Linked DNA regions of Arabidopsis thaliana. The protein of the gene in region 1 interacts with the protein of each later gene in a biochemical or structural test. Each region holds a gene or a part of one and is shown in the gene's direction. Other genes may lie near its edges.

Evidence for each region.
Region 2: the proteins of EIN3 (region 1) and MYC2 form a complex in vitro, tested with the Arabidopsis thaliana proteins (one study listed by BioGRID).
Region 3: the proteins of EIN3 (region 1) and JAZ1 form a complex in vitro, tested with the Arabidopsis thaliana proteins (one study listed by BioGRID).
Region 4: the proteins of EIN3 (region 1) and FRU form a complex in vitro, tested with the Arabidopsis thaliana proteins (one study listed by BioGRID).

What each region holds. Positions count from the first base shown.
Region 1 is NC_003074.8:7,258,223-7,266,827, reverse strand, and holds EIN3 (Ethylene insensitive 3 family protein), read left to right. Parts: upstream 1-3,443; 5' UTR 3,444-3,725; intron 3,726-4,233; 5' UTR 4,234-4,239; coding exon 4,240-6,126; 3' UTR 6,127-6,399; downstream 6,400-8,605. Other genes in the region: TOP6B (topoisomerase 6 subunit B), read left to right, coding at 1-2, 143-245, 353-438, 531-727, 1,047-1,162, 1,308-1,393, 1,550-1,622, 1,796-1,887 and 4 more; AT3G20760 (Nse4, component of Smc5/6 DNA repair complex), read left to right, coding at 7,937-8,168, 8,242-8,322, 8,508-8,605. UniProt on the Arabidopsis thaliana protein: Transcription factor acting as a positive regulator in the ethylene response pathway, by promoting histone acetylation in an ENAP1-dependent manner, thus accelerating the expression of ethylene-responsive genes. Binds DNA.
Region 2 is NC_003070.9:11,794,323-11,803,236, reverse strand, and holds MYC2 (Basic helix-loop-helix (bHLH) DNA-binding family protein), read left to right. Parts: upstream 1-1,829; 5' UTR 1,830-2,323; coding exon 2,324-4,195; 3' UTR 4,196-4,893; downstream 4,894-8,914. Other genes in the region: AT1G32630 (FAM50A-like protein), read right to left, coding at 4,894-5,295; AT1G32610 (hydroxyproline-rich glycoprotein family protein), read left to right, coding at 6,470-7,345; AT1G32600 (F-box associated ubiquitination effector family protein), read right to left, coding at 7,554-8,435.
Region 3 is NC_003070.9:6,616,527-6,624,120, forward strand, and holds JAZ1 (jasmonate-zim-domain protein 1), read left to right. Parts: upstream 1-5,250; 5' UTR 5,251-5,305; intron 5,306-5,393; 5' UTR 5,394-5,785; coding exon 5,786-5,948; exon of another isoform or gene 5,949-6,146; coding exon 6,147-6,745; 3' UTR 6,746-7,094; downstream 7,095-7,594. Other genes in the region: AT1G19170 (Pectin lyase-like superfamily protein), read left to right, coding at 251-721, 1,036-1,156, 1,236-1,484, 1,574-1,727, 1,824-2,349; AT1G19190 (alpha/beta-Hydrolases superfamily protein), read left to right, coding at 7,350-7,594.
Region 4 is NC_003071.7:12,001,634-12,008,641, forward strand, and holds FRU (FER-like regulator of iron uptake), read left to right. Parts: upstream 1-3,024; 5' UTR 3,025-3,079; coding exon 3,080-3,556; intron 3,557-3,637; coding exon 3,638-3,838; intron 3,839-3,913; coding exon 3,914-4,090; intron 4,091-4,173; coding exon 4,174-4,275; 3' UTR 4,276-4,362; coding exon of another isoform or gene 4,363-4,370; 3' UTR 4,371-4,643; downstream 4,644-7,008. Other genes in the region: AT2G28150 (UPSTREAM OF FLC protein (DUF966)), read left to right, coding at 166-435, 537-594; ATCHX7 (Cation/hydrogen exchanger family protein), read right to left, coding at 4,738-5,184, 5,379-6,044, 6,643-7,008. UniProt on the Arabidopsis thaliana protein: Transcription factor. Essential protein involved in iron uptake responses. Regulates FRO2 at the level of mRNA accumulation and IRT1 at the level of protein accumulation. Confers enhanced iron mobilization responses at low iron supply.

The sequences.
Region 1 (8,605 bases):
AGGTACCCATCTGAATACATGAGCAGCTTCTCGAAAGCGGATATCAATCTAATTTTTTATGTTTGGGCATTTGACATAATAGCTATGAATCCTTCGGATTTTCCACGCCGTATAATTGTCTTCAAATGGTTAAAATTTTCAGGAACATTCCTCATATTCATCTGCACGAAAAGAAGGGCAACAAAGAGAAATGGCATGGGGCTGAAATACAGGTGGTTATCGAAGGAAACTGGACAACATACAGAGTACGTGGTCTAGCTCGTCCTTCTGCTGTATATTATTTCTTAAGTGTTCATTAGACATATATGCACGCAAACTTGTTTAACACATTTTATTTTTTTGTTGTATCCAGTCAAAGATCTTGCACTATATGCGCCAAATGGCTGTCATTACTCCTTATGCGCAGTTTCTGTTTAGATTTATATCAGAGACACCAGAGTAAGATCACTATCTTTCTGTTTTTTTGCTGCTCTGTCACATAGCTCTTTATGTGCAGCATTATCGGGTTTTTAAATCTTCTTTTCATGTAGGAAAAATGTCACTATTAAGTTTACTCGAAGAACGGATGTGATGCCCCCTATTCCTATCGAGACAAAGCACCATCCATCGTCAGTTGACTTGCTGCTTATCAAGCGCCTTATTACAGACACTTCCAAAAAGACCCTTCTGCAGTTTCTTCAAAATGAATTTGTGAATATTAACAAAACCCTTGCAGCACGATTAATTGGTAATATGACATCAATCTCATTTGTTACATAAGTTTGAAGTTGTTTAATATTCCCCCTCACATCACATTTGGCAGTACTTTTACTTGGCCAATGGAAATGATCTGATATCCAATTAAGAAATTCTGTATCACATGTCCTGATGGATTAGACGGATTATTATATTCACTAAAAATGTTTGCTGATTCTGAATGGCAATTTTCTGCTTCATTTTGCTGGTTATTATTCTGAGAAAATCATCCATGCCTTTTATATTTACTAAGCCTGTGCTATCTCTTTAGTCAAATTCAGTCATAAGTATTCTTGTTTTCTTTCTTTCAGGGGAAATGGGACCTGATTTCGGGCCTAGCATGGCTGTCAAATCTGTGACATCTCAGCAAATGGTACGCATACATCAGTTATTCCGCCAAGCTAAATTCGACGACCCTAGTGGTGATGTAAGCAGCTACTTTCTCTCTAAGGTTCACTGGGAACTGCTTTATTATCTCTATATCTCTCTCGAGGGTCTTATAAAATTTCAAGTTAGAGCATCTGTATTGTTTCGAAAATTAGCTCTATTCATACTGCGGTTTTCTTCTGTAGTGTCTTAGCCCAGCAGGAGAATACAATCTTCGTCTAGGGATTATTAAGGAGCTACATCCAGATATGGTGGCAACGTATTCCGGCAGGTTGTCACTGCAACCCTCTTTTCTACGAATTCATCTGATTTAGATATGGAGTTTATTTTTCTTATAGTAATCTCATATGTCAAGCTTTACCTACTTTGTCGTTAATCTGAGCTTTGTTTCATCAAGTGTTGACTTCTTCCTGGAAACTATGTTTAGTGCTCAGGTCTTCGAAGGTCATCCTTTCATTGTTGAAGCTGGTGTTAGTTTGGGTGGAAGAGACGTGAAACAGGCAAGTCATATCCTCCTTTTGTTTATTCATGTGTCATCAAGTTCTCATAGATTTAAGGTTGCTCTAAGTATGAGCATGAATCCACCATAACCATTGCTCTTTATCTTTTGTCGATCTCACTCTTCTACTATCTAATGGGTTATTTTGGGAATTTGCTGGAACTGAAATGGCAGGGGATCAACATATTCCGTTTTGCAAACCGTATTCCTCTCCTTTTTGAACAAGGAGCTGATGTTGTCACCAGGACGGCCTTAAAAAGAATCAAGTGAGACTCTTTCTTTAGCTTGCTGTATTCCTCTCTGTATATCGTTATAGTTGGTATCTTTCTCCAACTTTTTTTTATTAATGAGTATTTTCAAAACATTGCAGTTGGAATAGTTATAAGATCAACCAGACGCAAGATAAAATAGGAGTATTTGTGAGCATAGTGAGTACAAAAATTCCATTCAAAGGGACAGGGAAAGAGTACATAGGAGATGACATCAGTGAGATAGCTACTGCAGTCAAGGTAACATTAAGAAAAGATTTTTCTGACGTTATCCCACATCTTATTAAATCTAACTTTCCGCCTTTATTTCCATCAGTCTGCAATTCAACAATGCTGCATCCAACTGAAATCCAAAATAGTCAAGAGACTGCAAGCCCGTGAACAACAAGAGCGAAAACGCAGTTTGAGCAGGTAAAAAAGATAATCAGTGTCCTTCCCATTTTATGCTCCAACCCTGAAAAAAAAGATAACCAAAACTGGAAATGCTTGCAGATACATCCCCGATGCAACGGGGGCAGTGTACGAGGTTCTAAAACAAATGACAGAAGAACATAAAACAAAGAGAAAACGTTACGGAGAGGAAGACATAGTTATGCTTGATAAAGTATCTAAACAGATAATCACAAAAGAAACATTGAAAGAAAAGCTAGCTGAGCATGTAGAACAGGTCTTTTTTTTTTTTGCATCAATCACTTCTCAGCATAAGTTTCTACTGCATCATCACTTTTAAGTCATTCTTGCTGAATATATGTGGTGGTTTCAGGTGGACTACGAGATGGCATTAGAGTATGCAACACAAAGTGGAGTAAGTGAAGAACCCAGAGAAAATATATATCTCCAACACTTAGATCCCAACAAATCCAACTTCATAGATCTTCATAGTCCAACTTTTGTCTTCAGGCTCATGTTGTAAAACATATTTGCATCTCTCTATTAGTCAATTCTTTTCTTTCAGTGTTTTTTGGGATATTTTAAGACAAACACTTGAAAAGTGGAAAAAAGAAGACATAAAATTTAACACTATGTTTGGTTAGTTTCAACAAATGTGTCGAAGAACGTGATAATAATTAATAAACAAAACAATCAAGAAGCATGAAAACTTTTATTAAAATAGTTTTCTCACCTCTTGAGAACAGATTTGTCATAATCGATAATAGTTGTCGATGATGACGAAACTTTTTCTACTTGTAATAAAATATAATTGTAAAAAAAGTGTGCGTTTTTTTTTCTCTCTACCGATTTTAATGAGAGGTATGGATAATGGATCTTTTCTTTTCTAAAACCCATTATTCCAAAAATGAAAATAAAAAACGTAGCACAACAATAAATAAAACTCCGCGTAAGAAACAATTAATTACATACCGCGTAAAATAAAATAAAATAAAAAAACAAACGAAGAGCAGTGAGTATTGCCAAAAGGCGCTTTGTTAATTACATATTAATTGTGTAATAATAATAATAAATGATGTCTTAAATTTTATGTGTAAGAAATGAAATTAAAATGATATATATGTATATTATATATCTAAACATATATATATATATATAAATAGAGTATATATACTATGATCTATCTTCCTGATCTACAGAGAGACTCCACAAAGAAACGCAAATAAACAAAAGTCGCTTTCTAGCCACGTGATCTTTCGTCGACTTTTCTTCTTCTTCTTCTTCTTCCTCTTCCTCATCTCGTATCTCTAACTTTTGTCGAAGTTCTTTTGATGAAACTAGGGTTTATTATCTTCTCCTTCTTTTTCCCATCACCATAGAAAAGGCAGAGACCTTTTTCTTCATCATTTTTATTCTCCTTCTTCTTCTGCTGTTCATTTCTCCAGGTACTATACGCTTCTTCTTCTATTGATTTTTTAGGGTTATTATTGATACTGAAGATGATGATAGGTTTATTCATAGGGTTTTACTAGATCGATGGTTTTACTTTAGTTTACTAGTGTTTACACGATCTAATTTCATGAGTTTATGCTACTTTTAGTTTTTTTTTTGGTTGAATTTTTGTTTATTGTTTATAAATCGTTGATCTATTTGAAAATGTTTTCTCTTTCTTATTCATATATGATCCTTTCTATATTTGGTTCCTATGTTGAAGATCTCATCCTTTTTTTGGAAATTGAATCTGTTGATAATTTTTATTATCCGATTGATTATTTAGTTTAGGAGTGATTAAAATACGATCTGATTATGTGTTTATTACTTAAAACTTTGATTGAATTCGAAAAGCCCCTTTTTTATAATTTAGGGTTTGATGATTTTTTTTAGTAAGTTGTTTGATTCAGAAGAAATATAATTGTACTGATTAGTTTTGTTTGTGTATTTGATTTGTTACAGGTTACAATGATGTTTAATGAGATGGGAATGTGTGGAAACATGGATTTCTTCTCTTCTGGATCACTTGGTGAAGTTGATTTCTGTCCTGTTCCACAAGCTGAGCCTGATTCCATTGTTGAAGATGACTATACTGATGATGAGATTGATGTTGATGAATTGGAGAGGAGGATGTGGAGAGACAAAATGCGGCTTAAACGTCTCAAGGAGCAGGATAAGGGTAAAGAAGGTGTTGATGCTGCTAAACAGAGGCAGTCTCAAGAGCAAGCTAGGAGGAAGAAAATGTCTAGAGCTCAAGATGGGATCTTGAAGTATATGTTGAAGATGATGGAAGTTTGTAAAGCTCAAGGCTTTGTTTATGGGATTATTCCGGAGAATGGGAAGCCTGTGACTGGTGCTTCTGATAATTTAAGGGAGTGGTGGAAAGATAAGGTTAGGTTTGATCGTAATGGTCCTGCGGCTATTACCAAGTATCAAGCGGAGAATAATATCCCGGGGATTCATGAAGGTAATAACCCGATTGGACCGACTCCTCATACCTTGCAAGAGCTTCAAGACACGACTCTTGGATCGCTTTTGTCTGCGTTGATGCAACACTGTGATCCTCCTCAGAGACGTTTTCCTTTGGAGAAAGGAGTTCCTCCTCCGTGGTGGCCTAATGGGAAAGAGGATTGGTGGCCTCAACTTGGTTTGCCTAAAGATCAAGGTCCTGCACCTTACAAGAAGCCTCATGATTTGAAGAAGGCGTGGAAAGTCGGCGTTTTGACTGCGGTTATCAAGCATATGTTTCCTGATATTGCTAAGATCCGTAAGCTCGTGAGGCAATCTAAATGTTTGCAGGATAAGATGACTGCTAAAGAGAGTGCTACCTGGCTTGCTATTATTAACCAAGAAGAGTCCTTGGCTAGAGAGCTTTATCCCGAGTCATGTCCACCTCTTTCTCTGTCTGGTGGAAGTTGCTCGCTTCTGATGAATGATTGCAGTCAATACGATGTTGAAGGTTTCGAGAAGGAGTCTCACTATGAAGTGGAAGAGCTCAAGCCAGAAAAAGTTATGAATTCTTCAAACTTTGGGATGGTTGCTAAAATGCATGACTTTCCTGTCAAAGAAGAAGTCCCAGCAGGAAACTCGGAATTCATGAGAAAGAGAAAGCCAAACAGAGATCTGAACACTATTATGGACAGAACCGTTTTCACCTGCGAGAATCTTGGGTGTGCGCACAGCGAAATCAGCCGGGGATTTCTGGATAGGAATTCGAGAGACAACCATCAACTGGCATGTCCACATCGAGACAGTCGCTTACCGTATGGAGCAGCACCATCCAGGTTTCATGTCAATGAAGTTAAGCCTGTAGTTGGATTTCCTCAGCCAAGGCCAGTGAACTCAGTAGCCCAACCAATTGACTTAACGGGTATAGTTCCTGAAGATGGACAGAAGATGATCTCAGAGCTCATGTCCATGTACGACAGAAATGTCCAGAGCAACCAAACCTCTATGGTCATGGAAAATCAAAGCGTGTCACTGCTTCAACCCACAGTCCATAACCATCAAGAACATCTCCAGTTCCCAGGAAACATGGTGGAAGGAAGTTTCTTTGAAGACTTGAACATCCCAAACAGAGCAAACAACAACAACAGCAGCAACAATCAAACGTTTTTTCAAGGGAACAACAACAACAACAATGTGTTTAAGTTCGACACTGCAGATCACAACAACTTTGAAGCTGCACATAACAACAACAATAACAGTAGCGGCAACAGGTTCCAGCTTGTGTTTGATTCCACACCGTTCGACATGGCGTCATTCGATTACAGAGATGATATGTCGATGCCAGGAGTAGTAGGAACGATGGATGGAATGCAGCAGAAGCAGCAAGATGTATCCATATGGTTCTAAAGTCTTGGTAGTAGATTTCATCTTCTCTTATTTTTATCTTTTGTGTTCTTACATTCACTCAACCATGTAATATTTTTTCCTGGGTCTCTCTGTCTCTATCGCTTGTTATGATGTGTCTGTAAGAGTCTCTAAAAACTCTCTGTTACTGTGTGTCTTTGTCTCGGCTTGGTGAATCTCTCTGTCATCATCAGCTTTTAGTTACACACCCGACTTGGGGATGAACGAACACTAAATGTAAGTTTTCATAATATAAATATATTTGCAAGCTCTCTTCTTCTGTGTGTTTTTGTTGAGTTTGACTTTTACAATTGAAAAGTTTGGTGTAATTCACGCTAACTACCTCAAAGTTAGGGAATGGTGGGATAATTATTTATTACAATTGTATTTGATGGATAACGTGCTTATCGCTAGTGGCTCGTGGGTAGCATTTAAGCATGGGTCAATGCTTGTGTCTACGAGCTCGAGTGATCGAGCACACACAATCCAATCCGAACACAAAACAAGAAGAAAAACAAAATAAGATCTTAGATGTAAGGTATTCTTAAATACCTTTTTTTTTGAACAATATATATTTCATTTTTTGTTTGTAATTATAAAATGGTCCTAGATTAGATTTTAAGTTTTGATTGATCATTAAACTAAATTTGTTTTTATATCTGTTTCTATCTTCTTTACTCACGCAATGACGCAAATCCTTATTTGAAACGGCTTGGAGAGGTTACTATTATTACAATAGGAACATGATAATAATAATCATATTTGATTGTTAACGTTCTCGTCGCTTGTGGCTCGTTGGTAACATTTAAGCATGGGTCAGTGCTTGTGTTCACGAGGTCGAGTGCTCGAGCACACATTTCCAAACCAAACACCAAAAAAAAGAAAGAAGAAAAAAAAAGGACCTTACATGTGAGGTATTCTTAAATACCTTTTTCCTGATTGTCTTTTTAATTGAACAATATTCATATGTTTAATATTTATCTATTTCAATTTTTTTTGTCCATATTATGGTTTATATATATTAATTCAGCCATTGAGATTTTGATAGCACAAATACTTGTCAAGCTTCAAACCATTAACAAGTCTCCAATCCTTCTCCTTAAAGTCATACCACATAAACCCAAGAGGAGCTAGAGTTATATACATAAATCACATAATCTATCACACACACATCGAACATCTTTATTGCAATAGTGCTCACATGCATGTACCATCTCTTGGATCATAAACTATCACTTCACTTGTCCATAACTCCTAGAATATAAGATCTTTCTCTCTATTGAGACAGAGATAAATATAGTGGGATTGTGGCGCCACTTCCAAAGTTTGTGTCTTGTGTCAAACACTTCCGGTTTGATCTCTTCGCACCCTTTAAACACGTAAATCATTTCATGCATCAATTAATCTCACAACTATGAAATAGCGAGCCACTCGCAAACTTGGACCTTGACGCAACTTTTCACACAGGGTATCAAGGATCCACATGTTCCTTGAAACATAATTGTAATTACCCAAGGGAAGTAAAATCTCATGAATCATGACCAACCATTAGAGCAGCAGAACATAGCTCAGCCTGAGTTAACCAAGTATTTATTAGTTCAGAGGATAGTCAACCGAAACCTAATCTTTAGGCAAAAAAGTCAACAAAAAATATACTCCAATAAATATATAGCAGAGACTTCGACGTTGGCGGGAAATTTATCGACGTCTCTTCGTCTTCTCGCCGCCGTTAGGGTTTCTTTCTTATTTTTATAATCTCTTCGTTTCACCTTTTTCCTTTCCGTCTCTCAGATGATTTTTTTCTAAAATCATCATGAGAAACTCGGTGAAATGGGAAACGGAATTAACCGGAGATCGCAGCAGGAGAAGAGAAGCCGATGAGTCCTCGGAGACACCAAAGATCGTAAAGAAGGAGAAGCGTAGTAAGACCGTAATTGCTTCATTACGGCCTCAACAACCGCCGATTCAGGAAGAAGAAGAACAAGGAATTGCTGATCGGAGAGCTATAAGATCTCAGTATCTTGCTCTTACCCACAAGATCAAAGGTTACATTCTATTTCTTCTACTTTAGGGTTTTTTTTAGGGTTTTTTTTCTGACCTAACTTTTTTTTGGTACAGATGCTAAAGATGACTTGACAAAAATTGATTCTAACAAGTTCAACAGTATCATTAATGAGGTTGAGAATTTGCACCAGAAAGGTAAATGTAAACTTGTCCCAATTCGTTTATATATATATTCCTAAGTCTTAAACTAGTAGATGTTTCTTATTTTGGATGAACCTAAAAACTGTTCTTAGTTCTTATGTTGTGTATTTTAGTTGTAGCAAGGATAATTTTATTCACTGATGATATCTTTTTTTGGTGCTTTTACATTTTTATTGCAGTTCGGAAGCCTAGAGAGCAGATTGCTGATGCGGAGGCGCTTTTGGATTTAACGAATAGTGTGGTTTCATCGGTGAAATCGCAATCAGCTCATGGTGGT
Region 2 (8,914 bases), on another chromosome or scaffold:
AGAAAAATTTCAAGTCTATATGATCGTGTATTTGTGTCTGCATGTTTCAAAATCATTGAAAAGACCCTTCCTAAAAAGTAAGCGAATCCAAAATTGTATGTAAATTTATATACATATGTATATATATGAACATATGTTATTATAATTATGAATAAATTATTGCTACTTAGGAACTCAATCAACAAAAGATACATAGATTGAGGCGCTTCTACAAGGTCATCCTAGTCACTTATTAACCTAACATATGTAACACATTGTATAAGCTATTCGAGCATGCCAAATCAATCAAGATCATTATATCATGTTCGACGATCTATCGAAAGTGTACACCAATTGATGATTCTCTATTTCTCTAAATCTAAGAATAACTCGAATTGGTCACATACAAATTTGGATCAGGTAACAGATATATTTTTATTTCATGCAGTTAGGAAATAACATATGGGAAATTTATATCTTACGTTCCACATTGTTCCCGAATCCCGACTAATGTCCCTCTCTTTCAACAAGGTGATAGTAAGATCTTCATTTAATCAACCCGACTCTCTACTTAAAAAATTTCAACCATTTTCTCTAAGAAGTCAGAACACTCCATCATCCCCATTCTAAGCTCAACATAACAACATAACAAGAAAACTGTCATCTTTGTTATCTCATTTCTCGAAGTAAGGGGGGAAATCTCTATATTTATCCCACTAATTATTCATTACTTAGTGGGATATTGTTGTTTTCTAGTGGCGTCACCCCCAAAGTCGACATGAAATATGATATCACGAATCACCTAGCCAAAACTTAGTGTAACATCTTCTCATAATTTTCTTATAGTAAACATGTTCAAAAGTCGACTCACAACCACCAGACAATGGTTTGGTTGTTTTCTGTTTGTTGAATCGTTCATTGACGAGTTCACCCAATACAGATGTCTCAGAAAATTATATTCAAAAGTTATTTTGGTTGTTATTTACAAAAAATGGTATACTAGATCCCAAAATTATTTTACTATTTATTGTTGGTAAAATACTCTTTAGTTTAATATGGTTTTAATAAGAAAAATCAACCGGAGTATCATTAATCTGAACGTATAAAGACATATCATTGAGTTTATCACAAGACAACGTAAATCTACAAGAACACAATAACATAAGTTTAGTGTTTTGTTAGTAAGAATTTGTCTTCGCAAGATAGAATTTTAGAAGTATATATATATATATATATATATACTATTTTATCTTAATTCTTTTTGTTTTATTTTTGGTTTTTAGGTAAGGGTTAGGAGTAATGGGACCATATTGGTGGCATGCTAAATTATTGTGATAAATTTATGCATGGAGGAAAAGATGCCAAATGATTTATGTTATTCACTCATACTCACCTAATGACCTAATCCTTGAATTATTGTTCGAACTTTAAAAATAAAATTTTAATATTGTAAATTAAACAAACAATATAACGTTGTTAGCATGTGTTTATCGTGAAATGTGAATGTAACTAAAAATATTATAAAGGAGTTCTTCCTTTCTTAAAGCATATGCTAATAATAGCGTTTGGTCAAATTAATAAATTATTAGTTTATTTAGTCGTCAACAAATTAATTAGTTAAGCAGACAAGAATCGTTTTTGGAGATAGAGATTCTCACTTGCATTTCACTCTCTTGCAATTTAACATATTAAGACAAACACAAATTTTTGCTTTAGTGAATTATTAGCAACGACTCACGTTATATAGATATGCAAATCTCAAAATTAATTAAGCTAAGACACAGTATTTGATAATTGAGATTACAAATCTTAAATTTTGATTTTTAATATTTTAAAATAACATTATAAAATAAGTAATTAATCTGTTATAAAAAATATATTCTAAAAGTTGACAAAACGACAAATATAAATCGAAAAAATAGGTGAAAAGTTATAGTAAAGTGTTTTTCCACTGAGCTCACAGTTCACTCTTTGGTACAAAAGAAACAATCAGTTAAAATCTAAGTCAATCATTAAAGAGCGTGTGATACACGTGCGACCAAACAGCCGTACGATCTCACTCACTTCCGGTCTTAATTCTTACCGCGTCGATCCAACAGTCGATGGGGTTAAATCGGGATGTGAGTTCATCGAAGCTTCTCTCTCTCTTACAACCATCCACGTTTCCCAATGAAATCTCGCCACGTAATATCCCTAACAACAAATTTACACATTCACCCTCAAGATCAGTTACACATATAATAATCGCAGACGCTCTCCATTTTTCTCCACTACGAAGACTTTCTCCTATCTCTCTCTCTCTCATTAAAAACGTGTTTTTTTTTACCGGTCACCGGTTTATGGAATGACTGATTACCGGCTACAACCAACGATGAATCTTTGGACCACCGACGACAACGCTTCTATGATGGAAGCTTTCATGAGCTCTTCCGATATCTCAACTTTATGGCCTCCGGCGTCGACGACAACCACGACGGCGACGACTGAAACAACTCCGACGCCGGCGATGGAGATTCCGGCACAGGCGGGATTTAATCAAGAGACTCTTCAGCAACGTTTACAAGCTTTGATTGAAGGAACACACGAAGGTTGGACCTACGCTATATTCTGGCAACCGTCGTATGATTTCTCCGGCGCCTCCGTGCTCGGATGGGGAGATGGTTATTACAAAGGTGAAGAAGATAAAGCAAACCCGAGACGGAGATCGAGTTCGCCGCCGTTTTCTACTCCGGCGGATCAGGAGTACAGGAAAAAAGTGTTGAGAGAGCTTAACTCGTTGATCTCCGGTGGTGTTGCTCCGTCGGATGACGCTGTTGATGAGGAGGTGACGGATACGGAATGGTTTTTCTTGGTTTCGATGACGCAGAGCTTCGCTTGCGGTGCGGGATTAGCTGGTAAAGCGTTTGCAACGGGTAACGCGGTTTGGGTTTCCGGGTCAGATCAATTATCCGGGTCGGGTTGTGAACGGGCTAAGCAAGGAGGAGTGTTTGGGATGCATACTATTGCGTGTATTCCTTCGGCGAACGGAGTTGTGGAAGTCGGGTCAACGGAGCCGATCCGACAGAGTTCGGACCTTATTAACAAGGTTCGAATTCTTTTCAATTTCGACGGCGGAGCTGGAGATTTATCGGGTCTTAATTGGAATCTTGACCCGGATCAAGGTGAGAACGACCCGTCTATGTGGATTAATGACCCGATTGGAACACCTGGATCTAACGAACCGGGTAACGGAGCTCCAAGTTCTAGCTCCCAGCTTTTTTCAAAGTCTATTCAGTTTGAGAACGGTAGCTCAAGCACAATAACCGAAAACCCGAATCTGGATCCGACTCCGAGTCCGGTTCATTCTCAGACCCAGAATCCGAAATTCAATAACACTTTCTCCCGAGAACTTAATTTTTCGACGTCAAGTTCTACTTTAGTGAAACCAAGATCCGGCGAGATATTAAACTTCGGCGATGAAGGTAAACGAAGCTCCGGAAACCCGGATCCAAGTTCTTATTCGGGTCAAACACAATTCGAAAACAAAAGAAAGAGGTCGATGGTTTTGAACGAAGATAAAGTTCTATCATTCGGAGATAAAACCGCCGGAGAATCAGATCACTCCGATCTAGAAGCTTCCGTCGTGAAAGAAGTAGCAGTAGAGAAACGTCCAAAGAAACGAGGAAGAAAGCCAGCAAACGGTAGAGAAGAGCCACTAAACCACGTCGAAGCAGAGAGACAAAGACGCGAGAAACTAAACCAAAGATTCTACGCGTTACGAGCGGTTGTACCAAACGTTTCAAAAATGGATAAAGCTTCGTTACTCGGTGACGCAATCGCTTACATCAACGAGCTTAAATCCAAAGTAGTCAAAACAGAGTCAGAGAAACTCCAAATCAAGAACCAGCTCGAGGAAGTGAAACTCGAGCTCGCCGGAAGAAAAGCGAGTGCTAGTGGAGGAGATATGTCGTCTTCGTGTTCTTCGATTAAACCGGTGGGGATGGAGATTGAAGTGAAGATAATTGGTTGGGACGCAATGATTAGAGTTGAATCTAGTAAGAGGAATCATCCGGCGGCGAGGTTGATGTCGGCGTTGATGGATTTGGAGTTGGAAGTGAATCACGCGAGTATGTCGGTGGTTAACGATTTGATGATTCAACAAGCGACGGTGAAGATGGGTTTTAGGATCTATACGCAAGAACAGCTCAGAGCAAGTTTGATTTCAAAAATCGGTTAAAAGGGTGTGTTTTGGGAAGTTTAGAAAGTTATGGGGTCAAATCATAATTAATTCGTTTTAGTGGCTTCAGTAATTTTGTAGATTTTAGTTTTGTAAGAAAAAAATCTTAAAATAGAGCGACAAGTTTCTTCTTTTGCTCTATGTTTGAGTCTGTATCGTTTTATTGTTGTATCTCCTCAATGAGTAAACTTGTATATATTGATATGAGTAATATGAGTTAGTTACTGAAAAAGTTAATATTTCTACACAATTTCATATGATAAAAAAGAAAAAGAAATCGAGTATAAATGGTCTAAAATAAGAGACTAATGGTCATGATCACTGATTTTGTACATATGGTCAAAAATGTCTCTCCTAACACATCAAACTTAGGAAGAGAGACAAATCTTAAGTAAGTTAAGTCGAGAGGGAGACCATATGCACAGTTTTCTTAAGTCAGTGTGATAATGTTTCCTCTTGTCTAATCAATAAGACACAACACACATAAACCTTAGTATAATACTACATGGATCTTCGAATACACAGACAGAGTCACAGACAAGAAAAAGCAAATCACTTGCTTTTGTCTTGATCATTTCCAATATCTACAAAAATAGAAATCTTGAAGAGATTATTGAATCTGAAATCTGCTTTGTTTGTGCATTCTCTTCCTCGATCACCTCGCAAGATCCTCTAGCAACCTGACCAATCCTCAAGAATCAAGTTTTCTTCTTTCTAGCTTCAGCTTTCCAATCTCGACGATGCGGCCTTATCTTCCGTTTAACCGACTCACAAGAACTATCTTGAGCCTTGTTCATAATCAAATGAGCTCTTCTAGCTTCTTTTTTCCAATTTCTATCGCAATAAACCCGCCGCACAAAGTTCTCAACATAACCACTAGGTCCATTAAACTCTAGTCCCTCGTCTTCTTCTTCTTCTTCTTCTTGTTTTCCCATTGTCTCAAACGAAAGATTATCATCGTTACCCGCTTCTTCTTCCCGCATCCGTTTCCTGGCTCGATACCTACGTTGTCTTTCTCTGTTCTTCATTCGACGGATCATGACTTCATCTTTGTCTATCAACCCTTCTTTCTCATCAATGCTCAAACCACCATTGCTCATCTTTCCTTCAATTCCAATTACTCAAAACACTGATAAAACAAACCAAATTCTATTATAAGGTAATGCATTTAAAGGAAAGAATCTAAAGCTCTATAAAACCCTAGAAGCTTCTTAATTCAAAAGCTGAAGACACAAAACACACACAAATGTAATTTTGCAACTAGAGGAGGACCAAATTAGAGATTCGTTAATAGCAATCAACCAGAAATGTAAGACTTCCAAAGAATCAAAATTAGCTAATCGATACAACTAAAAATGTTATTTTGCTTTGCTTTCAAGTTGAGAAAACAGAGAAGTTCGATACTCAAAGAACCTGAATGATTAATTCGATGATTAGGTTAAGAGGCTAAAACCCATATATTACCAATCTCAGTGATTGATTTACGAGAAGAGAAATCCAAAAAAAACAAAATCAATAAAGGTCATACCTTTGAAGCTTCAGTGAACAAAGAAACTAAATTTGCGATTGCCCGACTCGGTTCTCTTCTTGCTCGAGTGGTTTTGGAGATTTATGAACGAGAAAGAGAGAGATTGTTCTTTGTTCTGACTATAGATTGATGAAAGGAGGTACCTTTCTCCCAGACAGAACATATGACCGAGACCTTGTAGGAACATTTTAGGTTTCATTAGTTATATCTGAATTAAGCTAACAAAATGGGGTGGTGGCGCAGTTGGCTAGCGCGTAGGTCTCATAGCTACTGAGTGATCCTGAGGTCGAGAGTTCGAGCCTCTCTCACCCCATTTCTCATTTTTCTTTGTTTTTGACCATTTCACTAAAACTCCATCCATTGATGAAAATTAGGGCTTTGTCTTCAATTTTTCTTTCGCTCTGCTGAGAGACCTGACCTAAATCACGGGTTTAGGATCCTGTGGATTCGATTTTCTTCAGGTGAAAGGCTTTTCTTCTCATTATCATTGTTTCTCCGACCAATTTAGTGGATAAAGACGTAATGTGATTGTTGCGTTCGATTTCAGATGCGACTGATTCGGTTTTAGATGCATAAGTGGATAATGGGTATTCTAGATTCAGTAATTGAGGTTTCATAGCTGTTAAAGATTAAGTTTTTGGCTGATACAGGACAATATCTGATCCTGTAACTGTTACTTACTCTGTTCCTCTTTGAAGCTTAAGGTTTTAGATCAGAATTTGTGAGTTTAGTCTCTCTTGTTTGAGATGGATAGGACTTGTTGGTATTATGATCAGTTAGGTGTGAATAAGATTGGGAAGAACATAAAGAAGAGTCCTTTACCACAACCACAAGGTTATAGCATGAGCAACAATGATTTTACAAGTATTGTTCAACAGCTTACGGATTCTCCGTCGCGTGAGAGTTTACCTCAGCCTCTTCCTCGGAATCTGTTGAAGCCTCAGCAGAAGATTAGACCAGTGGGTCAAATACAGATAAACCGGCCCTGTGTTCCTCCTCCTGTAATGGCTCAACCTACTCATGAGTTTGTTGCTAGACCTCCAATGCATCCTTTGCCACATGGTTCACAACCAATTATCAGTCATGGAGACCAGTTTGGGTCTAATACAGCTGAGTCTTCTGTCTCGGTGTATATGCGTTATCGTCAAAGCTCACTTGGAGATTCTGGACCTAATGAAAACCAAATGCAGCCATCTCATGACAATCAACAGCAGCCACAGGTGGAAGGTCAAGCTCAATCGCATAATCATCATTCGCCACGGTTCAATGATTCTGCACGAAACACACCCATTTTGCCAACTCCTAAGTTCGACGGTCCGCCACAACAGATGCATAATAATAGTCTTCCTTCTCCTCGATTCAACGGTCGAGGGATATTACCTACTCCAACGTCCCAATATCGTCCACAATCTCCAACTGCTTACCGGAATTTGCTCTCCCCTAGGTCACCTTCTCCGCTGCTGTCTACAGGAGTTCAATATCCTCCACCACTAACACCAAGAAACTATACATTCTCATCAATGGATCAACCTGGAATTCTCGGTCCGGGCACAATTCCTCTGCCTCATGCATCTCCGTTTGGGGTTATACCAATATCTAGTCAAAGATGGAGAGGTTACTAAGATGCTCCATCTTCTTCACTTGACTCTTAGGTTAGTGTCTCTCTACTATCAAAGGTGCAATCTTTCGGAGCTTATAGGTTACAGCAGTACAGAGCTGTTAAAACACTACTTTATTGTGCCTTTGAGAATACGAAAGATCTTAAAGTTGAGCAATTCGCTATAAAATAAGGAGTTAGTGTTTAGTAGTTTCATATATTTTCATAAGGAGTTACATAAGTTTAGTCATACATCCCAACACTTTCAAATGACTAGAAAATAAAACTTCAATGAACTCGTTTTGTTCCTTATTGTACACAAAAACATTGTCCTCTTCTTCTTTACTACGACATCGCACCACTACAAAGACTTCATCGTTTTTTGCTATGCATACAAACCTAATATCAACGGGTTCGTCATCGTTTCCCGCTACATTCATCCACGGGTCGCTATCCCATCTCGCAATCTTCTTGCCGCTTCTAATTTCTCGTCGACATACACATAAATTGTCATCTACACTTGGGTAGTGATTGATAACACATAGTTCTCCCCTTGAAACATCTAACCATGAATTGAACTCCAATCCTGATAGCATCATCGGAACGTTTAGTTTTGAGTACTCTTCATTAACGAAATCAAAGCATAAGATGAATTTTTCTTTGTTGAACCGGTTTGCTATCCAATACATACAATTGTCGACAACCGTACCGGTCCTCTCTTTGAAGAAGCAATCACTAGAGGGAATTAGTTTGCTTTCTCTCCAAGAACTTTCTTTGAACGTAAAGATATAGGTTTTCTTGTCGATAATCGTCACAATTTTGTAATCATCTAAAACCCGGTCATAACCGAATCCCAAAAGATTTTGGGTTTGACCCCGTTTAATCATCGGTACTCTCTTGAATTTTGTTGAAGTAGGTTTCCAAATAGCTAACTCATTGTTGTCTTTGCGGGTGAGACATATCACTCCACGGCAAGAAAGAATACAGACTGGTTCAGTTTGGGCCGGTAATGTAAAGGGCACGTTTAGCTTCAAAGACGTGGTTTCATTAAGGTCTAGAAGGTATAAACCATCTTTGTGCAATGAAATGAGCTGAGATGATTGTTTATTCGACATTAGAAAATTGATCAAAACAGATATATTTTGGTTATTGTCCGGGAAAAAGATATGTCTTATGACTATATATGGACAACGAAGTTTTATTGAGAGCGTGATTACATAGTTATTGCATCATAATTTTCTGTATAACATCAATGTCGACATATAATACGTATCCACACTTTTCATTGTACCTACGATACGTATGTCAATGCACCGTTAACGTCAGTGGTATCTACTTTGTCAAAACGTTATACAAATTCATATCACCAATTACCAAAGATACTTTCGATATCAGTATTATATTACTCATGTCGTTATAATTTCCTTAAAAGGAAAGTTAAAGTTTGTTCGATGGAAACATATTCTTGTCTTAAACAATGATATCATACGCAAAAGACATATTAAATGGGAAAAATCTTACAAAATATGAATTTAAGGTGTTAAATGAATCTACATAATACATGATATCTCTTAATCTATTTTATTTCTTTTGT
Region 3 (7,594 bases), on another chromosome or scaffold:
CTAAAGACGAAAACGTCGAAAAAGATGATTGGCTAAATGGTTGAACCAAACTAAACCGGTTGTTTAACTTACCGGTTTGGTTCGATTACTCAATCGAATCGGATCGTGCACACACCAAACTCTCTTCACCAGCTTCTGACACAGACTTTGCAACTCTCATGACGGATCTTTGCTTCTAATTCACTATTTCTCGGCTAGATCTGTGGCAAAACCAGAACCTCAATGTTTCTAGTTCCTCGTTAATCGAATCATGGTGGAGAATTTGTTTCCTTCTCGATTTCAATTTCATCTTCAGAGACTTGACCCGAAGCGTCGTCTTACTTCTCTCCTTGCTTCTCACAAAACACTCTTCACATTTCTCTGGATCACTGCCTTTGGTTCCGTCTTTCTATGGCAGCGAACGGCTTACATCGAAGGCGGCTCTGGAACTGGTCCTGTCGGAGGAAAGTTCACAATTTTCGGTAAGATCAAACCGATTCAGCCAATTCCCCGATTGAGACCTGTGGTGTTTGATTTGAAGGATTTTGGAGGTGTTGGAGATGGGTTTACGCTTAACACTGAAGCATTCGAGAGAGCTGTGATTTCAATCTCTAAGCTTGGGGGAAGTAGCGGCGGAGGTCAGCTGAATGTGCCGCCTGGACGGTGGCTTACGGCGCCGTTTAATCTCACTAGCCATATGACTCTGTTTCTCGCAGAGGATTCCGAGATTCTTGGTGTTGAGGTTTGTAAAATGTTTTGATTTCCTCTTGTTTTGCTTTCATTTCGAAACAATGAAACGAATGCAAAAGATTGATTGGTAATTGTTTACTGAAAGTCAGACTCTTTAGCTCTGTTTAGGTCAGAATTGCAGAAATTTAAGCACCACTAAGCTTGGAACATTAGATTTGTAGGTTACAGGTCACTCACTCTAGCCAAGTTAGAGTACAAATGACTGTGTTTGCTTGTTGTGTGAAGGAACATAATTTAGGAGATTTTGAGACTTTGCGTGATGGATGTGTGCGTCTTGTTTACTTAACGTGTCACTTTAATTGTCAGGATGAGAAGTATTGGCCTTTAATGCCACCATTGCCTTCATATGGTTACGGTAGAGAGCGTCCGGGACCTCGTTATGGGAGCTTAATCCATGGTCAAAACCTCAAAGATATTGTGATAACTGGTTAGTGGTTTTCCTCTTTCGAGTTCATGTTTGTGAAATTGTGGTAACCGTGTTAGTAACTAAGGGGTATAAGGAACAGGTCATAATGGAACAATAAACGGGCAAGGACAATCGTGGTGGAAGAAGCATCAAAGAAGACTTCTCAACTATACGAGAGGGCCTTTAGTTCAAATTATGTGGTCTAGTGACATAGTTATCGCTAACATTACAATGCGTGACTCACCGTTCTGGACTCTGCATCCATATGACTGCAAAAATGTAACAATAAGGAATGTCACCATCTTGGCTCCTGTAACCGGAGCACCAAACACTGATGGAATTGATCCAGGTATGTTCATTTACCGCTTATATCTGTTTTCCGGTTATTCTGTACTCATTTAAAACGTTTTGAACCATCTTGTTTATTTCCGTAAACAGATTCGTGCGAGGATATGGTAATTGAGGACTGTTACATTAGCACCGGGGATGATGCGATCGCGATAAAGAGTGGATGGGATCAGTTTGGGATTGCATATGGACGACCTTCAACAAACATTCTTATTCGTAATCTCGTTGTTCGCTCTGTTATCAGGTAAAGTATTTTCTCATTTCTCATCTTACACCGCAAAACTTTGAAAACGTTTTCTTTTAAAGCAAAAGAATGAAAGTGTTCTATATGTTTTGACAGTGCTGGTGTATCAATCGGAAGCGAAATGTCTGGTGGAATATCTAATGTGACGATCGAGAACCTTCTGATCTGGAACTCACGCCGTGGAATCAGAATTAAAACGGCTCCAGGACGAGGCGGTTACATCAGAAACATAACCTACAAAAACCTAACACTAGACAATGTTCGGGTTGGGATAGTGATCAAAACGGATTACAACGAGCATGCAGACGATAATTATGATCGGAAAGCATACCCGATACTTTCGGGATTCAGTTTCGCGGGAATCCACGGACAAGGAGTGCGAGTGCCGGTCCGGATCCATGGAAGCGAACAGATTCCGGTAAGGAATGTGACGTTTCGGGACATGTCCGTTGGGTTAACGTACAAGAAGAAACATATATTCCAATGTTCGTTCGTGAAAGGACGAGTGTTCGGTTCGATATTTCCTCGACCTTGCGAGAATTTTGATGTTTACGACGAGGAAGGTCGTCTGGTTAAGCCTGCAGCTGAGTCCAATGTGGCGGACATTGACTACGACATTTGAATGTTTTTTCAGTTCATTGTCATTTGTGTACATAAAAGTAAATTTTGGGACACAAAAATGAAAATTATTTTTCTTTGGACCATTTCTCTTCGTCGTTGGGGTTTTCTCATTCTGATAAATAGTTGTAATTTTAATTAAAGTAATAAATATAAATATTTATCACAAATAGGTCAACTAAAGATAATTCGTTGATGAACAAGCAATATATTAGAACAAAGGAGTTAAGTTGCTTTATTGATCGAATTAAAGAATAAAATTTGGATGAATACAGAACTCAAACTCATAAATGTTGTTGAGGTTCATAGTTTTGCAGTAGAATGCTTAGAAAAATCAAAATCTCCATGTTGAGGTTATTAATATTGAAAGCACGTGTTGTTGTATTCGACTCAATTACTAAACTCGCATGTTAACGCATGACACATGATAATATCGGCATATTCAGTGAACCAGGTTGGTTCATGATCCCTTCCAAAGCGGACTCACACCTTAGACTCGGAGCTCACACGCCAAATCGCTCGGCTAGGTTTTGATAGCCAACTCCGGCCAAAAAACCAATCGCGAGAATGTGGTTTTTGATTGACCCAACTCACATTTTGACCTAGCACGAAAACCAAACACCAACATGAAATAAGATAAACTATTCAAAATATCTAGTTTTATATAAAAATCTTAATTTAATGTCACGAGAAGCATGTTCGCACTACTAAAGTTAATTAGCACAGTTTCGAACATTTATATATGTATATTCTGCAGAACACCGACGACTCCAATAATGGTCACGACTCACGACCCATGTGGAGTAATAGTTTTCCTTCTTTTTTAACATTTATAAATTTTAATATTTATTTTCGAAAGGCTAACAAACGCATGCGTACCTTTACATGAAACAAAAAGAAATTGTAGAATAATATTGTTTGAACATTTCTAGATATTCATGTGCATATTGTTCAAAACTTGTGTATGATTGTATCATTGATTGTTACATAAGTATTTGTTAAACAAATAAAAACTATACAACGTGGCTACGTATCAATCTATGCTTAGCAAAGTCAACCATGTAAATTTTGTAAGTATTACCTTACTCTAAGAAAATAAAACCCTAAACGAACAGATAGGCTTGCACCTGTATAATATATTAGACATTACAAGTCTCTACAATGTTGGTTTATCATTAACAAGGACTAAACAATATACTATAATCATACAATAAATTAAGAGTCGTAAATTAATGGTAAACTCAACTAATGCATGAATAGTTGTAAAAGTATATATATTTGGACACGTTACTCAACTTGCATCGCGGATCTGTATTCCTTCCCAACCACTACGTACACGCATTTCCCACGAGTTTGACGATCTTTCTCGTTTAATCTAATCATATCTACTTTTATAGGCTCCATAGCCCACATTTCATATCTTATAGTACGTTCCAACTTCTAACCAATAAACTCAAAACTAGTTGAGTTTTTTAATTAGTGAAATATATCTTGAATTTTATATATCTAATCTTGCACCAATAAAGTTTCTGTCAATTATGTAAAAGAAAGACTCGTTGTATCAGTATGGGACGACTTTTTCTTCTGAATTGTGTCGATCGAGTCCATATTATAATACTTTGTCACGTACTTTGTTTACTGATTAATTTAATATAATTGTGTCGCATTATCCAAGTCTAATTAAACATTAATGTGTATATTATACACCAAGTTACAATTACAGATCTATCTCTTAGTCGTTTTATTATGTATAGCCTACAATGAAACATGACATCAACGTATAGGTGAAGCTGAAGCCTATACATAAAAGTAAGGTTTTGGAGTTTGTTTCATGTTTTAAGGTTTTAGATATTTTGTGATCGATTTGCATGTATAGGGTTCCAAATATCTGAGCTTTGGCTTGGTCTACTTTGAGAAAGCAGCTGTAGAGATCAACTTTAGCCGTTTAGGTGATAAAATCACATTAGAACTCTATAGGTCGCGTAGCAGCGTATAAGAGCCCTGGATACTGAAATACAAGAATCTCTCCACGCGTAGAAAAACGAACCAACCATGATAAAACACGTGTCATATCGAATAGGTACAGACAACGTGCACTTGCCAACCTTCTTTCCTTGTAGTTTCCTTCTTCTTTGCTTCTTTTTTTCGTTAAATATTGATATTGTTCAAAAAACGCATAACAACAAAAACGTGGTCGACGGAACATGTGGGTGGTGGAGTTGTCTTCTTTAGGGGACCACTCACTAACGCCGTTTACTTTCCCGCTTGGACGATAACACCCTTGATATATGGATTAGTCTCTCTTTTGCTTTTGGATATCTTAATATATTTTAATATGTCCATTTTTATATTGACGACCATTTAATTAGGTCTCAGTTTGTATTATTGATTTTTAGGTGCCAAGCATTACTTTCGTTACGTGTAATCTTTTGATTATTCAATCAAATTATCATATGGTTCATGGCATTTTATCAATTGTGACGGTCGACATGTGGGTTGACTTTGATGTATGACTTTTAGCTTGTGCCTCATTTTTATTCCAACTCGACAACTAGCAGACTTTATATTTTAATTTATTTCTTTCTAGATATTAGACAATTCTTAGCTTGTCTCTCTGCATGAATCACGCGTTAATATACTTATAATAGTAAGTTTTAAAATGTTTCGAGTATAATATCATATTAGATTTCAATTATAATTGTAAGATTATTTAGTCTCAATGAAGAGCATTTAAAAATGTGAAAGAGTTTAGGCTTTGACTGTTGACTGGTTCTAACGCGTTTTGCTTCTTATTTATACAAAAAGATTTTATTTTATTTTAATTAGAAATATTAAGTACTTTTTAGACGTGTTTAGGTTGATTAATTTCTTGTTAACATATCCGATAAAAAAAAACAGCACCAAAATCACGACGAGAATTATGCCTACGTTACGTTGATAATAAAGATTAGAGATAAAATGTAACCTCTCTTCTCTTTACATCATTACATGCATCTTGTGTTTTATTTGACTTTATTCTTACCAACAAACAACCAATGGATAAATTAGGCTCGTGAAGGAGGGCAAACTCGTAATTTCAAAGAAACGGAAAGCGTCAGAACGTGGAGAACAGTGAACCGAGACACATTCCCGATTTTTCTAAAGAAACAAAATAAAACACGTGTTTTTTATACCATAAGTAAAGTAGTAGTATTTATTAAACTATTAATATATAGCTTTGTTATATTGGAGGTAGGAAGAAGAACTCTGCAACCAAACCAACCAACCCCAAAGCCAAACAAAGTTTTATAGAGACCTTCCATTTCTCCCTCTCGTGACAAACGCAATTTGCAGAGAAGCAACAGCAACAACAAGAAGAAGAAGAAAAAGATTTGAGATTACTTTGTATCGATTTAGCTATTCGAGAAACTCTTGCCGTTTGAAAGTTTTAATTGTTAAAGATGTCGAGTTCTATGGAATGTTCTGAGTTCGTCGGTAGCCGGAGATTTACTGGGAAGAAGCCTAGCTTCTCACAGACGTGTAGTCGATTGAGTCAGTATCTAAAAGAGAACGGTAGCTTTGGAGATCTGAGCTTAGGAATGGCATGCAAGCCTGATGTCAATGGTAAGAAACCTTCTCTTTCTCCTAGATCCACTTCTTTTTTCGTTTTCTCTGTTTTTTATTTCTTGAATCTTGATCTTGAAAACTTTTCAAGAAAATTTTGAATCGATTTCAAAGAAATTAGGGAGAGTTAGTTTGCTAAATTTTGACATAGAAAATGATTGGAGAGAGTTCTAACTTTTGGATCATATATATTTGCAGGAACTTTAGGCAACTCACGTCAGCCGACAACAACCATGAGTTTATTCCCTTGTGAAGCTTCTAACATGGATTCCATGGTTCAAGATGTTAAACCGACGAATCTGTTTCCTAGGCAACCAAGCTTTTCTTCCTCATCTTCCTCTCTTCCAAAGGAAGATGTTTTGAAAATGACACAGACTACCAGATCTGTGAAACCAGAGTCTCAAACTGCACCATTGACTATATTCTACGCCGGGCAAGTGATTGTATTCAATGACTTTTCTGCTGAGAAAGCCAAAGAAGTGATCAACTTGGCGAGCAAAGGCACCGCTAATAGCTTAGCCAAGAATCAAACCGATATCAGAAGCAACATCGCTACTATCGCAAACCAAGTTCCTCATCCAAGAAAAACCACAACACAAGAGCCAATCCAATCCTCCCCAACACCATTGACAGAACTTCCTATTGCTAGAAGAGCTTCACTTCACCGGTTCTTGGAGAAGAGAAAGGACAGAGTTACGTCAAAGGCACCATACCAATTATGCGATCCAGCCAAAGCGTCTTCAAACCCTCAAACCACAGGCAACATGTCGTGGCTCGGTTTAGCAGCTGAAATATGAATGCTAACCACCCTCAAGCCGTACCAAGAAATTCTTTTGACGACGTTGCTTCAAGACAAGATATAAAAGCTCCTATCTTCATGCTTTTTGATTTAAGATACAAACTACTCAATGATTAGGAAACTTCATATATTTGTATGTATTGATTAGTGATCAATTATTGTTAGTATTCGTTATAGTCTGTTTTTCTACTAGTTATTGTCGCCTGTCTAAATCCCCTTGCTATGGGTTATCTCAAAATTAGTTTCGTATGTAACTAATTTTGTAAGAACAATAATTTTTGTTGACGAACCATACTATCAAATACTCTAAATTATATCTTGATAAATCTACCTATCAGGTAAGTAGGTGTGTTTTGTTTTCATTTGTTTACTTGTTACCTACTAATCTCATATTTTATGATTCAAATTCAAACCCGTGAATTATGAGTTAGTAGGTAGGTTTAACAACATGTCAACAACTAAAGAACAACGTGACATCTAAACCAAACCAAAACTATAGAGAGTTCAGAGTAGTCGTAGTCTCGTAGAGATCATTCATATAAATAAATCGCATAAACACCAAAATCAACTCTTAATTCTTTCCTAATCATCATTAATCTCTAATGGATTCCGAAATCGCATTCGACTATTCTCCGAGGTTTCGTATATTCAAGAACGGTGGCATCGAACGCCTCGTACCCGAAACATTCGTCCCACCGTCACTAAATCCCGAAAACGGCGTCGTATCTAAAGATGCCGTCTATTCACCGGAGAAAAACCTCTCTCTCCGCATTTACCTCCCTCAAAATTCCGTCTATGAAACCGGCGAGAAGAAAATCCCACTACTCGTCTACTTTCATGGCGGAGG
Region 4 (7,008 bases), on another chromosome or scaffold:
CACAGCTTAAAAAAAAAGTCTCTGCCTTTAGTTTCCCACTAAAATTACAACAAGCTATCTTTGGTTTGTTAGGGTCATAATATGTGATTGGAAAGGTTCTTGATTTGAGTAGTATACTTAGTCTCTGTGAATTCTTGAGGACACATCTCATGTGAGTTTTTTCAGGGCATCCAACCAAATGGGTGTAGCAGAGAATGGAGACTCAAAACCGGATAGTTCTAAAAATAATCCAAGCTCAAGAAAGGCGTCTTCTATTCTAGGGAAGCAACAACCACTTGTCTCCGAAAAGAGAAGAGACTCATCAGAAGATACTACCAAGAACATTCCATGTACCACTAAAACACATGATGCTTGCAGTAAAAGAATAACCGAGTCTTTAAGGAAGCCCGATTCATTCAGAGAAGACGAGGAGAGAGTTATCAAGATCGACGAAAGGTGAAACATAAACATCTTGAATCTTGTTCAATATATTGATATGAACATATCTTATCTTGATTCATATCAGGTTTATTAAATCTTGTATGTATCTTGAACAGGCTTGCTTCAGGAGCACGAGTTAGAATCGAATCGAAAGTGCCTTCAGAAGAGCCTTAACCAAGTTTAGGAGGCGTGTTTTTTGAAAAATTTGAAATCTAAAAAGACCCTTTTGCTGGTTTGTATTGTGGCGGCAACTTTCTCCATTTTGATTGTAAATCTAGAAAGGTGGAATGAGAAAAAGAGAAATGGCAAAAAAGTTTCATAAAAAGGATAGAAAGATTTCAGAGAGAGCACTAAATGTTGGTATTGGGCAGAGAAAAGGTGTAAGTAAATTGAGAAAAAAAAGTTTGGTAACAAAAGGTATTAATGTTTTGATGTGATGTGAGATGAGAAGAAGATGGATGGACCACTGTTACTGATTGGTGTGGTCATTGTTTACTGATTGGTGTGGTCATTGGTAGGTTTGGTTTTATTAGTGAATCCATGCCATTTCGGTTTTCAAAATTGTAACCGATAGTTACGGTTATCTGAAAATCTGACACAATACTTTATTGATGTTCATGAGTCATGACTTATCCGCTGTTGTGTTTCTAAAGATGTGCTGATAAGTCACATAAAAATTGAATTTGTTCCATGTCTGTATAGAGAAGAAAAGGAGTTTTCATATTTTCCCCATTTTTGTTGGGGTGAACAAATTAAAAGTTATCTGCTAGTTGACATGCATAAAGGTTAGAGGAAAAAGAAAAGGAAAAAAGAAAAAAGTTTGTCAAAATATTTTGCTTCATAAGTTTGTGACTTATTCAGAGTTATGTTTCTAAAGATGTGATAGGTACAGCAAAATTGTATTTGTTCCAAATGTCAATTAGTGAAGAAAAGAAAAAGAGTTGTCATATTTGTTGGAGTACTGAAAGATAATCATGTGGCAAAAAAAAAACGAAATAGGAAGAATTTCAGTAAAAATTATGCTAGCTTCACATGTATCAAATATATTTGAACCAAAGTATGCCATATTCATGAATTGTTTTTACAACAATTTTTATTTGTTTTAAACTCTAGAGGCTATATGTGAAAAAAAATTTTACAGCAAAAATAAGATTATATCAGAAACATTACAGACCGAAATTTACAGCCACGATCTAACCAAACATCTACTAAATTGACATAATAGCATTATTCAAATATTTATTTGGAAATTGGTTGATGTTTTTGAAAGTTGTGGAGTATCCCAAAAATCCAATGTTGCTCAAAAGTTCAGTTTCTCTAATAAATTCAACACCTAGATGGAATCTATAATTGGTTGACTTTTTTTTTTTTTTTTTTTTTACAGTTATATACCTGAAAAAATATTCCAACTTGAAATATTATAAAGAGTTGATTTTTGTCCTAACCGGCCAAGACTTTAATATTTTATACTGTCTTTCTTTGCTATCCTTTGTTTGTTTGTTGAGACAAGAACGAAAACCGTGCATTGAACAGGCTTCTTCATAATTTAATTGCGGTTTATCCTTAAATGATTTGAAAAATGGAAATGCATTTATCAAAAATAAAAGAAAATAATTGAAATGCTATTATATTCCAGAGTTGGTTTGTTATTTGAAAATTATGCTGGTTTAAGTTTATATTTGAAATTAATTTTGGCCGTTTTTCTACAAAACATATTTATCATATTGGAGTACTTTTTAAATACACTAACATAAAAATGTTGAGAAAAACTTTTGTTAAAATTCTAGCTTGTGACAACTAAACCAGTTGACATCTACAGTTGTAATAAGCCGATTGCAAATTAATTCCTAACATTTTAATAAACAAGAATATATGTGGATCTAAATTCAAAAATATAAACAGTACACTAACATTTGTACGTCTAATATCGTAGTAAACTTTTACTTATGAACACCTTTTTAATACGGTCTGATCGATTTATTTATTTATATAACCAAAACTCATATATATTCATAAACTAAATTATATAGTAACAGGATATATTATGAGCTTAATATACATGCTATATGCCTATATAAGGTCTTAATAACCAAAACTCATAATAATGTATTCATAAACTAAATTATATAGTAATATTTTTGGTATATTTTATAACTTTAAAAAACTCTAAATATTTGTGGTATTTTTGAAAATGGATAAAAATGATATTTTTGGAAAGTAGTATAATTTTAAAAAACTTCTCCCAATAAAGACATGACCAAAAATGTGTGTTATTTCTATATATATTTTTTTTTTTTTTTGATCAACATATACTCTTGTTTCTAATCTGCATTCCCTCCACCACAAAAAAAAATTCAAATGATAAAATATAAAGAAGAACAATGTGGAAATATAATTGTCATGCAACACGACAAATTAATCATTCGAGTAACATAATTTATACATATAATATACAGGTCATGCATGACATTACAAGACGTAACTGAATAAACTAATATCAACCAACTATCAAGAGTACATTTCTTTAAATTTGTTTTAATTGATTTCTTAACTTATTATGTTAATTAATACAGTTTATTTCATACTCACTCTATTATATAAACTCATTTTGTCTCTCTTTCGTTGTCAACAACTTTTCTTCATTGACAAAAACACACAAATGGAAGGAAGAGTCAACGCTCTGTCAAACATAAACGATCTCGAACTTCACAATTTCTTGGTCGATCCAAACTTCGATCAGTTCATAAACCTCATAAGAGGAGATCATCAAACCATTGACGAAAACCCAGTTCTTGATTTCGATCTTGGTCCATTACAAAACAGCCCCTGTTTCATAGACGAGAACCAGTTCATCCCAACACCTGTCGATGACCTCTTCGACGAATTGCCTGACTTAGACTCCAACGTTGCTGAATCATTCCGTAGCTTCGACGGTGATAGTGTTAGAGCCGGTGGTGAAGAAGATGAAGAAGATTACAACGACGGTGATGATTCTTCAGCCACTACTACGAATAATGATGGGACCCGTAAGACGAAGACTGATCGGTCTAGGACTTTGATCTCTGAGAGAAGAAGGAGAGGGCGTATGAAGGATAAGCTTTATGCATTGAGATCTCTTGTTCCCAATATTACTAAGGTAAGTCACAACATTTTCAAGATTTGGTAATGACTAATGAAACTGTAAATATTGATGAAGTATGTGTGTGTTGGCATTTAGATGGATAAAGCATCCATTGTTGGAGATGCAGTGTTGTATGTTCAAGAACTTCAGTCACAAGCGAAGAAACTCAAATCCGATATCGCGGGTCTTGAAGCTTCTTTAAACTCTACTGGAGGGTACCAAGAACATGCTCCTGATGCTCAAAAGACTCAACCTTTTCGCGGTATCAATCCTCCTGCTTCCAAAAAAATCATTCAGGTAATAACCTAAAAAAACCAATCAATCTTCTTGAAACATCAAAGTGTTTAAAGTTTGTATGTTTTGTTGTGTTAGATGGATGTTATACAAGTGGAGGAGAAAGGGTTTTATGTGAGATTGGTGTGTAACAAAGGAGAAGGTGTTGCTCCATCTCTTTACAAGTCTTTGGAGTCTCTTACAAGTTTCCAAGTGCAGAACTCTAACCTAAGCTCTCCTTCTCCGGACACATACCTCTTAACATATACCTTAGATGTAAATCAACTTGTGCCCTTTTACTTTGTTTTGTTTCCGAGTATACCGTTTACTTACCGAGTTTTCTTGTGTGGTGGAAACAGGGGACATGCTTCGAACAGAGCTTAAACTTGCCTAACCTGAAGCTGTGGATCACTGGATCACTTTTAAATCAAGGTTTTGAATTCATCAAGTCATTTACTTGATTCTATAACGCTTGCTCTAACGTGAGTCAAATCCGGTTCTGCACTATATTGATTGTGTACCTTTCTTACATGTTTCATAACTTCCAGGGCTCTAATTTCTATTCTAGTGATGATGTAACCGAGATTGTTGATTCTCTATTGAATAAACACCATGTTATATAGTAATTTAGCGACAAATTGTATGGTTAAATGAAGTAATATTTATGTTTTGTTTATAGTCTCAAGTCTTAAGTTTCTTTTGCTTTGATATATCACGTTTTGGTTCATTGGCTGTATTATTGCTTTGTTGTTGCAAGACCATTCACATCTTGATTCTATGTATTGTTCTCTGTTTGATTGGTAAAAGAATAAAGAATTTTAACCCCGAGAAAGCAGTACAGACGACCTATATGGATCGCCGACTCAACTCTAGGAACCTAATTTGTGCTTTGGATATTCATAACATGGTAAAACAAAAAGATTCTAATATTGTTGCTGTTGCAAGACCAAGACAGATGCCCTTGAAGGAAACTCCTTTGACGCTATAACATCTCCGAGGGCTCCAAGTTCCTCGAACTCTGTCCATTCATTTAATCCTTTTGTAACTGCGCTATTCATTCCGCTACTTCTTCCAACTATAAACAAATCATAATCATACGCTATTGATCTAAGTATCACTGAAGTCTCAGCCCCTTCTTTGACGCTTTTTTCTATACATATCCATGAATCATTTTCATTTGAATCCTCAGTCTTCATTATCTCTTTTATGTCATCGTAATCCAACTTCTGCACCGAGTCTTCGCTTTCCTCGGTAGTAAGTTGAGGTATGAGGTGTAAGATGGTTACGCTTGTCTGCTTGTTTCTCCTCATACGGTTGGTGAATGCTAAGGCTTCTTTATCGTCTTTCCCTCCCACAACTATTGCACACACCTGAAATACAAACCACGAGACCAGTTTAGAACTTGTTAAGATCACACATCGGAAGAAATGTGTAGGTACCAACACTAGTATAGAAAAAACATGGGCCAAATATACTAATCGTCGGTTTGTTTTGAGTTGGAAGCCAGACGACCCCAAAAATTAACCATGAGATCTCTTAATTACAAAAGAAAAAAAACAAGTACCTTGTAACATGAGCCGTGCATTTGAGATTCCCATAAAGGTTTCCGGTAGACGAAGATTCCAACAGAGCAAGACGCTCTTTTCAAGACTTTGTGGTTGAGATTCTGCATGGCCTTGTCGTCAGAGACAATGGTTGAGCGGTCAACAGACCAAGAACGGTGAAAAGGAAGTACAACGAGAGCTACATTCTTGTCAAGGGCAAGCCAACAGAGGTCCTCGTGCATGTGCTCTACCAAGCTAGCAGATGTAAAGATGTCAATGGAAATTGCCTCTTTGGTTAAATGTCTACGAAGGCTTAAGAATGCAGTTATGACATTGCGGGAGCAAGAGCGTGTTCCAACCTTCGGCTTTTGCATCTTGTGGGAAATGAAGGTAGGAATGGCCTGACCTATGAGCTCCACAAGGTGAAGAACATTGCATTCTAATTTTGATTCTTGTGTTGGGTTAAAAAGTTCCACAAAGTTGACCATGGATGTTATGTGGTCAGGCTTGTGAATACACACAAGGGTCTTCAGCTTAGAGTCATGTTTCAAGGTTAACATGTTCCTATCTCGGTAACTACTAAAGATATGTTGTGGTTCGTACATGAATTCTATCGCGATCGGTGTCAATAGCGAGCTGACAAGTACTGATAGAGCCGCGATCGTGAAGCTCTTGTTGTCGAACATCTGTTTTAAAAATAAGAATGGATTGTTGTTAATATGTAGTGAGATGGATCAATAAGTTTGTTATTGTTTTGAACCTCAATATTTTATTTTTATGTGTTTGCCATTACATGTTAAAAAAAAAAAGATCCAAAATTATTTTACTACGTTTGAAATTTAAGAGTTAACAATTTAACATGTTAAATTTAACAAATAAGTGTTAATGCTTAAGGTATTGGTTTTATACTAAGTGATTGGTCCAAAAACAGGAAATCATAATTTTGAAAAATGAATCATGAATCTATATGGTTTAATAGATTCATTTACCTATTGCATGTATATCTGCAAAATGAATCCGAATGCAAAACAAACAAAAAAAGGAAGGAGAGAAAAACGATCAAAACCGAAATTTCTTTGAAAATTAAAGAAATATGTGACTAAAACTCGAATGCGAACCTAAATCATACCAAATCATCTATAACAGATCATGCTGTACTTTGCATATTATGGTTCATTAACGGAAAATCTGAAACTAAGACCGAGCTAAAATCGTGTTGAACACCCCTAAATTTGTAGCATGTAAAAAAAAAATGGAAGGATTGAAACATAATTGAGTTCTTACTTTAAGTTCGACAATGTAGCCGAGGTAGCCGAGCTCAAAGATACTTCTATTTGACAAAACCATGGCTAAAACAATGGAGTCTCGGTATGGAATTCTCACAGCAAAAGCAGTTATTGCTGTGACGACAAATTTAACCACGGTGACGATCAAGATAACCGAAATAGCTTCATAAGCGAAGCCCTCCATGTGTTTAAGGTTCAGTATCTCTCGCATCAACCACGATATATCTAGTTGTTCCATGCTAAGAGATCCAAAGAGCGGCAACAAAACACCAACGTTAAAACATTCAAATCTTTGAATGAGAGCCGATCCGAGTGGAGGCCCAGCCGGGGTAGCCAAACCGATAATAAACCAGCCATATGTTGA